Linked DNA regions of Arabidopsis thaliana. The protein of the gene in region 1 interacts with the protein of each later gene in a pairwise test. Each region holds a gene or a part of one and is shown on either strand. Other genes may lie near its edges.

Evidence for each region.
Region 2: the proteins of AT2G21160 (region 1) and UMAMIT25 interact in a protein complementation assay, tested with the Arabidopsis thaliana proteins (one large-scale study listed by BioGRID).

What each region holds. Positions count from the first base shown.
Region 1 is NC_003071.7:9,066,572-9,071,228, forward strand, and holds AT2G21160 (Translocon-associated protein (TRAP), alpha subunit), read left to right. Parts: upstream 1-1,680; 5' UTR 1,681-1,856; coding exon 1,857-1,917; intron 1,918-2,372; coding exon 2,373-2,540; intron 2,541-2,630; coding exon 2,631-2,681; intron 2,682-2,777; coding exon 2,778-2,866; intron 2,867-2,954; coding exon 2,955-3,032; intron 3,033-3,139; coding exon 3,140-3,343; intron 3,344-3,420; coding exon 3,421-3,492; intron 3,493-3,582; coding exon 3,583-3,636; 3' UTR 3,637-3,722; coding exon of another isoform or gene 3,723-3,739; 3' UTR 3,740-3,902; downstream 3,903-4,657. Other genes in the region: XCT (XAP5 family protein), read left to right, coding at 141-219, 315-391, 475-536, 625-756, 843-896, 983-1,048, 1,142-1,216, 1,300-1,350; TIM (triosephosphate isomerase), read right to left, coding at 4,476-4,532, 4,618-4,657. UniProt on the Arabidopsis thaliana protein: TRAP proteins are part of a complex whose function is to bind calcium to the ER membrane and thereby regulate the retention of ER resident proteins.
Region 2 is NC_003070.9:3,025,362-3,031,283, forward strand, and holds UMAMIT25 (nodulin MtN21 /EamA-like transporter family protein), read right to left. Parts: upstream 4,189-5,922; 5' UTR 3,962-4,188; coding exon 3,783-3,961; intron 2,393-3,782; coding exon 2,330-2,392; intron 2,254-2,329; coding exon 2,137-2,253; intron 2,051-2,136; coding exon 1,798-2,050; intron 1,685-1,797; coding exon 1,526-1,684; intron 1,439-1,525; coding exon 1,287-1,438; intron 1,192-1,286; coding exon 990-1,191; 3' UTR 701-989; downstream 1-700. Other genes in the region: AT1G09370 (Plant invertase/pectin methylesterase inhibitor superfamily protein), read left to right, coding at 1-64; AT1G09390 (GDSL-like Lipase/Acylhydrolase superfamily protein), read left to right, coding at 5,903-5,922.

The DNA.
Region 1 (4,657 bases):
CATTAATTCTACAAATGTAGATTGGAATATTGCTTGGTTGTTGGAGGATTTGAGATGCAAATAGCTTGCTGCGTAGGAATTTATAATATCATCTAATGTTGTCCTTTTTGTAACTTCTATCATGTACACTATTTATGCAGAGAGTTCTGGGACAGGGAACTTACGCTGCGGAAAACTTGGCAAGGACCCCTCAGTGGAAACGAATTTCCTGCCTGACAGGTGATCTCTAGCTCTCTTGTTTATCTTTATCTTCCTTGTCTGCTTTTGCAGTAAGTCTCAACTTTAGCTGTGGTGTTTTGAGGTTGCTGTTTCAGTGAGAGGGAGGCGGAGGAACAAGCTGAACGTGAAAGGCTGAAGAAGCAGTGGCTTCGTGAACAAGAGCAGATTAAAAGTTGTCCATTTTCTAGTTACCTTCTAATTTCAGTTGTAATACTTGATTCAAGGAAGATTGTCTAACTATTTTTTGTTTTTCAGACGAGCCTCTTGAGATTACTTACAGTTACTGGGATGGGACTGGCCATAGACGAGTTATTCAGGCAAGCACAAACTACACCTTTGTCATACTGCTTGAGCCTTACGTGTGTGATCATTTACTTACCTTTATGATATATACCCATTTTACAGGTCCGCAAGGGTGACCCAATTGGGAATTTTCTGCGGGCTGTTCAGCAGCAGCTTGCCCCTGACTTCCGGGAGATTCGGACGGCATCAGTGGAGAATTTACTATATGTAAAGGAAGATCTTATTATTCCACATGTGAGAACCCTTTAAACTTACCAAGTTATCCTCCCTTTACTATATAGGACTTAACGATAACATGGGGTATTTTTTTGTAAATGTAGCAACACAGTTTCTATGAGCTGATCATTAACAAAGCGAGGGGGAAGAGTGGGCCGGTATGCCTTGTCGACACTTTTTGAAATTCAGTTTATATAGAAATTGTAACCGAGACTCACTTCTCCTACATTGTTCTTGTTAACAGCTGTTTCACTTTGATGTGCATGAAGACGTGAGAACAATAGCAGATGCAACGATAGAGAAAGACGAGGTATGTTTCCCTGACCCGATCACATGAGAAAAGAGAGTAGTTTGATGATGGAAAGTTGTTTCTAAAGCATTGTAAAATGTGGTGTTAATGAAGTCGCATGCGGGTAAAGTTGTGGAGAGGCATTGGTACGAGAAGAACAAGCATATATTCCCTGCTTCCAGATGGGAGGTAACTCTCAAATAATCTTTTCTCTGCACTTTTCATTCTCAGCTAGACTTTGAATCTTATTGTTTTGCATTATAATTGTTCAGATTTACGACCCGACAAAGAAATGGGAACGGTACACAGTCCATGGGGATTAATTCTGGACCAGAACATGCTTTTGATGGATCGTTTGTTGACATGATTGATCAGATTTGGTGTAATAGTAGTGGAATGTTCATGGCATTTTTAATGCTCATTCTTCTTCCCTCAATGTACCATTACACTCGTTTTTTAATTTTTCTTAAAATAATGGAACTGTTTGATTTCTTTAGTACCCGTTATTTTGTGATTTTTCATGTCATGTGAAAATTTAGTATGAGATCTTGTGATTACAAATTTATAATGAGAGCACACAAATTAAGAATGTTAGAAACCAATTTGTGAATCCCCTGATGTATACAAGGCAACAAAATCACACGAAATAAATTGAGAGACCAGACAAAACGCTGTCGTTTTGCGAGGGTTTCTATGGTTGTGTTGTTATCTTTTTTTTTTCAGAAATAAATTAATTTAGTGTGAAAGAGCAAAAGCATAAATAGCATCGAGAGAGACACTGTTCTCATTCATTCGCAAATTCGTTGACCATATTTGATAGAATCAAGCGATGATGAATCTTAGGGTTTTGTTCCTCGCTCTCCTTCTCCTTGCATCTCCTCTGCTTCAAGGTAGGTCTCCTCTCTCTTCTCTTTTTGTTTTTCCATTGATTTTGTAGATCTAGATCCGTTTTGTTTCCTTCGCGTTTTCTGATTGGATTTCACATTTGATCTCTGTTTCCGATCTGGTTTCTTAAAGGATCTGGTAACGTTATGTCCTTATTCATCGATCCGAGTGAAATTGAGCTCCTTTAACAATACTTTGCCTTCGAACATTGTAGCTCTGTGTTTTGTGTGTTGCTGCCAATCCTAGAGCAATGTGGTTTCAAAGATACAAACTTTAAAACGTAGATCGAATCCCCTAGTAATAGATTCTTCAATAGTGTCTTCGTTGCATGTCTTTATTTTCTTACTTTACACTCGCCATTGTTCTTGGGTAGAGGAAAAATTGCAAATTGTAACATTTTCTGAAGAAGACGTTATGCTTTAGTGACCTGATGTGTTTTCATGTTGTTTCTTTTGATCAGTTGCTAGATGTCAATCGGATGCCGAGGATCATTCAAGTCTTGTTGACGATGTTGTGGGAGAAAACACTGATGATGCGGTTGAGGAAGATGACCATGATTTGGATATGAACTTGTCCTCATTTCCAGGAGTTGAGACTGTTTGTGTTTTCCCCAAAAACAGTGCCAAATGTATGTGTTTACTCCTCCTTTCTTACGTATTTATCTATCCGTTGTTGTGATCTTAAAGATTTGGTTTTTAATGCTCTTTGTTTCCTGCAGTGGTTCCAGCTGGAGAAGAGACTGAGCTCCTTGTTGGTCTTAAAAATGAAGGTAGCTAATACCTCTTTTAGCTTTAGCTCTCTTTGTGTTGAGTTTTCTGTTTTGTTGTCAAAACTAAATATCTCCAAATTGGCTGTGACTTAACAGGGAAAACTAGAGTAGGTGTGATGGGAATTAGGGCCAGCGTTCATCTTCCTTATGATCATAAGTTGTTGGTTCAGAATCTAACCATGTTGGTAAGCATTTGACTAGGAAACTATTTGTCTAAATATTTGTTATCATTTTATTGTTTTTTGTTGTTCACATGCTTGCATTCTATTGCAGAGACTTAACAATGCATCCATCCCAACGTCTCTTCAAGCAACATTCCCATACATCTTTGCAGTCAGCCAGTACTTGCAGGTAAACATATTCCACAATAGACAATACATCATTCTCGTTCATTCTTAAAATACAATTGTTATTGAGAAAAAACTCCGAAAGATCTAATCTTGCTTGGTGTTGCACAGCCTGGAGCATTTGATCTGGTGGGTTATATCATATACGATGTGGAAGGAAAGCCATACCAGAGTGTCTTCTACAATGGAACCATAGAGGTAGTTGAATCTGGAGGTCTTCTCAGCGGCGAATCTGTTTTCCTTTTAACACTCGGAATCGGTCTCCTCCTCCTCCTCGGTCTATGGGCATACAGCCAAGTTCAGCGTCTCACCAAGGTAAACCATTGGATCTCTTTTTCTGGTTCATCATTTGTGCAGTTAAACATTCCTTTGATAATCTCCTCTTTTACCAGAAAACCAAAAAGGTTTCCAAGGTGGAAGTAGGAACTAGGTCTACCGAGGCATCACTCGATGAATGGCTCGAGGTTCGCTTCTCTCTTTGTACTCTTCCTCCTCTTCCTCCTCTTCAGTGTGATTGAATAATCTGATTGAAGGGTATGTTTTTTTATCTTCAGGGAACTACTTTGGCCAAGACATCGTCTGGGAAAACAAAGAACAAGAAGAACTAAAGTAGAGCTGTTTTGCTCCTTCCAGTTGTTATAGACTCAGCTTCGGCGTTTTGAAAGAGTTTCCAAGTTTAAAGTTCAGTCTTGAGGAAATTTAGGGTTTTAAACGACACTTTTTTTGTTCCAGCATTGTACTCTTTAGACAATCTTTACTTCTTGTCATAAATATTCTCCTCATGAAACAAGTTAACTTATAAATGGTTTAGATCTGTTTTTCGTTGCTAACATCAGTAACTTTTTTAGCAGTAGATTAACATCTTTATACTAATGTTTTAGTTCATCAAAACAATTACAGAGGAAAGTATTGGACTCTCCAAATAGTTAAGTTGAAGATATGATCAGGAGCAAGTACAAGAGAACCACACTCCTTGGGCTTGTGTTGTTCAGGAGAGACTGGGCTGCGAGTTGCGACTTACACTGAGTTGTGATTCACACTAAAGTTGTGACTTATCTAAGCGATGAATGCACTATGGCTCAAGGTTTGGAGTGTGGTATGTTTGAGAATCGAAGATTTTTATCTCTCTGTCAGGACTATCGAGCACTTAGAGTGTGGCTTGAGATTTGATTTAGATTATTACATAGAAGAAACTCGTGAGTCAAGCTTACTCAAATTGAAAAAAAGAATCACAGCTTAGTTACAAAGATCTTTAATCAAAGACCCTTTTATCTCTCTCTGTCAAACCAGAGCTCACGAATCATTTTTTTTCTTTCTGTTTTCCATTATTAGTTCAAGAAGAAGATGTAAGAACACAACAACAACAACAAGGTCGCTAACCTCCCTTTTATTTCTCATCTCATCTGTTCCATGGAGACTAGCGATTTCCGTTACTGATAGTTCTCAATCAAGCAGCAACTTTCTTCGACGTGACTGAGTTCACAATGGTTGCAAACTCAGGACCCTAGAGTCACAATAAAGGTGAGTGTGAGCTGCTTTACTTCTATTCATCAACAACATATCCATAAAGGTCTAAACTTTACTTTTACCTTCAAGGAGGCACCACCAACAAGAAATCCATCAATGTCT
Region 2 (5,922 bases), on another chromosome or scaffold:
AAACAGACAGACGAAGATCTTACTATCCATGGAACAGATTGTTAGTCATATGGTTTCTTCATAATCTGATTGTTGTTGAATCATGACATAGTAGCAAATGTTTCCAGAAATATTCTAATTAATAATGGTTACAGAATCTTCTTAATTGCAATTCTCTATATGCATATATGTTTTTAATGGCGATGCTGATGCTGAGGTTGAATTGAACTGAACTTGATAAGGATAAAAATAAACACTTGGGATATAATATAATATATCTTTTTCTGTAAGATCTAATTCTGTTTTTGCTTCTATGAATTATGACCTTATGGCAAAATCAGGTGGTCAATAATACTAATAAATGTCCATAGTGTTTGTCTTTGACAATTAAGTCTAACTAAATCGCATGTGATTCTCCATGTTCTGTATCAAATCTACTATATCTATCGATTACAGGTACATGAACCGAGATAAACCTTGCAACTCGTAATCAAGAATGACGAAGAAGATTAACAAAACAGAACAGCGACTCTGTTTTGATTCGTATATAACACTTGAGTTACTAAACCAGGATTAAACCGTTACAGCCAATTGTAATTGACTTGCACGAACCGAAACCCTCTGTTTCAAGGCACTATTTTACATTTTGGGTCTAAATGAATATTGAAGGTCTGTAATAACTTTCACCCTCTGACAAAACATAAAATAAATTACTTGAAGACTATGATTTGATTTGTTTTGGGGATAAAGGAAATAGGTTATTAGAAAGAAAATAAGATAATGGAAACGATGAAGATTAAGAATACTGAATATATATAGAGATCAAACAGGTGATATTTGTTGTCCATAGGATGAACACACAAATCAACACTCCATCATTAGCCTCAAAATGGGATACAAAATTAAACACTCCGAAAATCCAATTTAGTTGCAGTAACTTAGATAACAAGAAATCCCAAAAGGTTCTTCCATAGCTCATACTTATATATGATGAAGAAGCAATCACCATTTTAAGGCGATGTAGACCTTGTGGAACCATTTCCACTACTTGCTACCGGTAATCTCGATTCAATATCTTCATTACTTTCACTCTTGACTTTATGGTTTTGTTGTTTCACCTTCTCCCTTTCTTCTTCCTTCTCACTCACCTCTCTGTCTTTCCCCCACAATACGCCATAGAGACCAATAACCACAAGTGCTGATCCCATAAACCTAATATACATATATCATATAAATTCATCATCATCATCTCGTTTATATAATGTTTAAACACACAGAGAGATAGATAAAGATGTATAGAAACATACGTGCCGGTGTAGAGTTTCTCTTCAAGAAGAGCCCAGCTGAAAATGGCGACAACTACGAGAAGTAAAGGGCTGAAAACAGAGACGTACAGAGGACCTTTCCTCTGCATAGCCCATGACATTAGGCAGAAAGCTAACGCAGACGCCACCACTCCCTGCATGATCCGTGTTTTATACTAGTGTCATATATTTTTAGCTTAAGATTGTTATCTAATGATCATAGTATATGTATGTGGACTTACGGCATAAAGGGCGGATATGAAGCGGAGAGGAGAGCTGAGAGACCAATCAGAGATTGTATGATCGGAGATCAAAGCAATGGCTCCACATTGGATACTTCCCATCAAACACATTAGTAGTGTGCTCGTGTACGGTGCTGCAAATGTTTCACTCATCTTCGTCTGTAACCAAAATAATATTTATCATAACCAAATGAGAATTTAGTTTCATTTTCCATTATGTGGGTTCAAATTGTTTGAAGCTACATTTTTTTTTAATTAAGTAATTAAGTTACCTGGATAATGAACCAAGCGGCCCAAGAAACGGCAGCAGCCATAATAAGAAAAGGTCCCAAGAAGAAATTAGAATGGCCAGAACTGGAACCATGTTTCGTGATGTTTTCAGCGTAGGCCCAATGGATCTTGGATTCTCCAATGCCGATGGTGTGACCATGGTAGAAGGAGAGAACCATGGCTCCGATCACACATACTAGCGTCCCTATCACTTTGGCTTGTCCTGATGCCTTCTTGATCCCCACGGTTTCTTGTCTGAAAAGAAAAAAGTCTTGTGTTAAGCAATAATCATAAACGAGTATTGTCTGAAGGAAACTTAATTAAGATTAATTTCATATAACCTGAATATTGCGGCGAGGAGGAAAGTGACCGCTGGTAAGAGATTAGTTAAGGCACAAGCAATGGTCGGAGATGAATTCTGAAGTCCTACGAAATATAGCACTTGGTTTCCAGTCGCACTGCAAAGAAAATCAATGTAAATCGCTTTATAACAAAGTAAGATTGCAATTAGTAGGTAAAGTGTATGTAAGATACCCAGTAATGGAGCAGAAGAAGACTTGGACAAGAATCCTAAGTGTGATCTTCGGTCTTGTCTTCCTGCACAAGAAACCGTGTATGAAAAATTTATGTTTTCATTAGTCCACTAATCATTATTAATCAATTAAAGCATTTCTCATTGAATGTAATCATGCAACTAATCCTAAAACCACCCGGTTAAGTTAAACCGAGACTCAAGAAAACAATCAAATTCACTTCTCATATCATATGAAGAGATTAGAGTGGAGAAACAGAGTAAAAAACGTAATTGAAGAAGCACGTGTCTTGGCAAATGAAGATGGCACGGCACCTGACGACGCTTAACTCACCTGGCATCATGATTTGTTTGTCATCATGTGCTTCGGTTTAAGAAAGAAACGTGACGCGTGGATTGTGTGAGACTGCGTCACATTTCTCATTTGTTTCTCTCTCGGAAAACGGAATTAATGATAATGTAACTACTTAGGTTTCCACATACCACCAAAATCATTGACGGTACCATGATTATGAAAAAATAACGGTAAATACTAATCCCAATAAACAAAAGAAAAAAGCTAGTGTCTACTACATTTCAACTAATTAATCAGCGTCACTTTACCACTTTTTTGTCTTTTTTTTCTTTACCACATTTTTCTTCACATTCTGAATTAATATTATTCATCAAGAAACTTATAGCTTACCATATACCATTATATGCGTATTCTATCGTAATCTCCGGAAAATAAGACGATGTCGTGCTAAACTTTTTTTCTTAATTATTAGTTTAGTGTTTTTAATTTTTAGTCTTCTAAATGGAGGTTCATTTGTTGCCAAAATTGTAAAATAATAAGAAGTAAATTAATGAATTTAAATCTATTCAACGTATAGTACTGATGAATTAAGTTATTAACATATATCAAAAAAAATCTTGACCACAAAAAAAAAAGACTTTAAGCATGCAGTACTTCTATGTCAATAAATTAAAAAGCTTGATTTTTGAAACTTTTGGAAAGTAATAAATTTAGGTGACGCAAGAAAGTTCAAAGACGTAAAAACGTTCTACATGAGACTCACAAAGCCATTTAGTAAATGGTTTTTCGTCGTTAATATTTTAATATACGCACTCACCATTTTGACGTTTATGTTGATGAATATGATTTCATCATTTTCTACTTTCGCAGTTAAGACAAACTTGAAAACACAAAAAAACAATGCTAAAAGAAAAATTTAGCTAATCAAAGTTTAGCATTTCTTGCTGATCTTTGTAAAACATAGACTCACCACCTAAAACCTAATTACTTTTAACCCCAAAAAAGTAATAAAAACACCCATATGCTTTATTCAAGAATTAAAACAAATTCAACATTTCATCGATGCAATTGTTTTAATCGTGTAATTCATACATGTCTAAAATCGTTAGTTGATCAAATAAGATGTATATGGGCAGATATTAGTATGGTTTTTTTTTTACCGTTCGAGAAAAAATGCGACCGGAAAAGTGGCGATAGTGGCAAATATCTGACGATAAGCGACCAGGATGAGTGGCTTCATACCGGCCTCCATAGCCATCTTCGACGTAATGTTCATGCCTGCGTAGCCGATTTGCACCAACACCATCGCCAAGAACGGCAACATATCTGATTTAGCCATCTCTCACTCTCTTTTATTTTATTCTTCCAATTTATGTGTTTATGTGTATCTCCAAAATATGCCTCTCTCACTATTACTAATCAATAATAATAGGTCAAGAAACCAAGAAAAAAAAATAAGGGAGAGAGGTGGATTCTCTATATCATTTATTAGTTTCCCCAAATCTATATTTTATTTTGGTTCGACCTTATATTTATAGCCAAAGATGTATATATACACACATTTATATATACATGCACATACATATATTTATTTATATACATACATATATATAGAGAGAGATGTTTTAAACAGAAAGGTGAGAAACGGTTCGAGAATGAAGTTTGCTTGTAACACTTGGACTCTCTTTAGGGCATAAGAACACGAAACAATAGGTGATATGAATCATTTGATATTTTTGGCAATTTATTTAAATTTTCTCCTTGCTGATTACTAATACAATCCAAATTGGCGTTTTGTCAAAAAAAAATCTAACTTATTTTCCTCGTTTTAATCCATTTTTTTGGTTTCCGTTTTTTCATGGGTTTGGTGGAGCTTGTGAATGTCTTTCTCAAGCTTCAAGCAATCAATTTGCCTTTGCTAAAACTCGTTTCTGTGATATTAAACCAAGGGCTTGGTTTATCGCTTGATTAACAATATCGAATTAGTATTATCTTACGTATTTTGAATTGATTTTCATTATATCACTCTTGCTTTTTGTCAAACTTTTGTGTGTGTAATATATATCATAAATGGTAAATTAACTATTTATATCCCAAAAGGGTTGGAAGTTGGGCATGGATTATCGAATATATATTGAATGGCATGCATCTTATGCAATATAAATATAACTAGGTAAGTATCCGCAAAATGTATGCATCTAATTATTTCTAAAATTTAATATATAATTAAATTCATGATTATATTATTACATGTTTCAGTTCGACTGCATACTGTATATATACTATATATTTTTAATGTATGAACTAGGTAATCATTTACACAATGGGTTGGACATACGTAATTTAAGAATATCTTTGAAAATAACTGGAATTTATATCATTAAAAAGTAGGATATAACTAGAGTGGCTAGTATAATTTTCAGAAAACTAATTAATTTTTAATTAAAAACTATACTGAAACATAATGATTTATATATAAAACTTTAGTAAACTAAAGTAAAATGCATAATGAAAACTTGTATAATATAAGAAAATCTCATATACAAAACAACATATATTGTTGGGCCAATTATTGGTCTTAAAAGGCCTCATTTATTCTTAAAAGGCCTTTCCTTAGGTGTACAGTGACTTCCTTGAGCAAGAATGTCATTTCATATGGATAGAGATAAAACATTGGTCTGTAGTCAGCACATAGGTATACCAAACACGTTAAACTTTTTTGTTGGCTGAAATTTGAGAAAGTAAGTGATGCTTAACATTTTGCTGGATATCAGTGGTTAATTTTTATACGAAATGCTTTTGGAGTTGAAGATGAATAAATTATGAGTAATGCTCCATTTGCATAAGTCAAACAAGCTAGCGTTGGCGTCCAGATGATTAATTTCCGCGTCCTCTTTGGCTTCCAAGTTCCAACGTAAATTTTCGCCGCATATTTTTTCGATCTTATCTTTTCGTTGTTACGTACAAAAGGAAAATTCCATTGTACATTCGTTTTGGATATATACTTTAGGATGCATATGCATATTTATGTATGAACAATTAGCATCTACATTGGAGCTGGAGCCAACAGTAAGCTTGAGTTATGTGTCTGTCACTGTCAACCACCAACATACAAAGTCTTAGGCTTTGTTTTTAAATTCACTAAAGAATCACACTCACACACTATAGCTTAAAATAAGAGAAATAAGGCCCACACACTTAAGGCTTACCATTATTACAATTTATTACAAAGCTTTCGATCTTCACTCTATCTTGATCAAATCTCTACTAGCAAGTTACAATGGCTACTCTCTCTCTTCA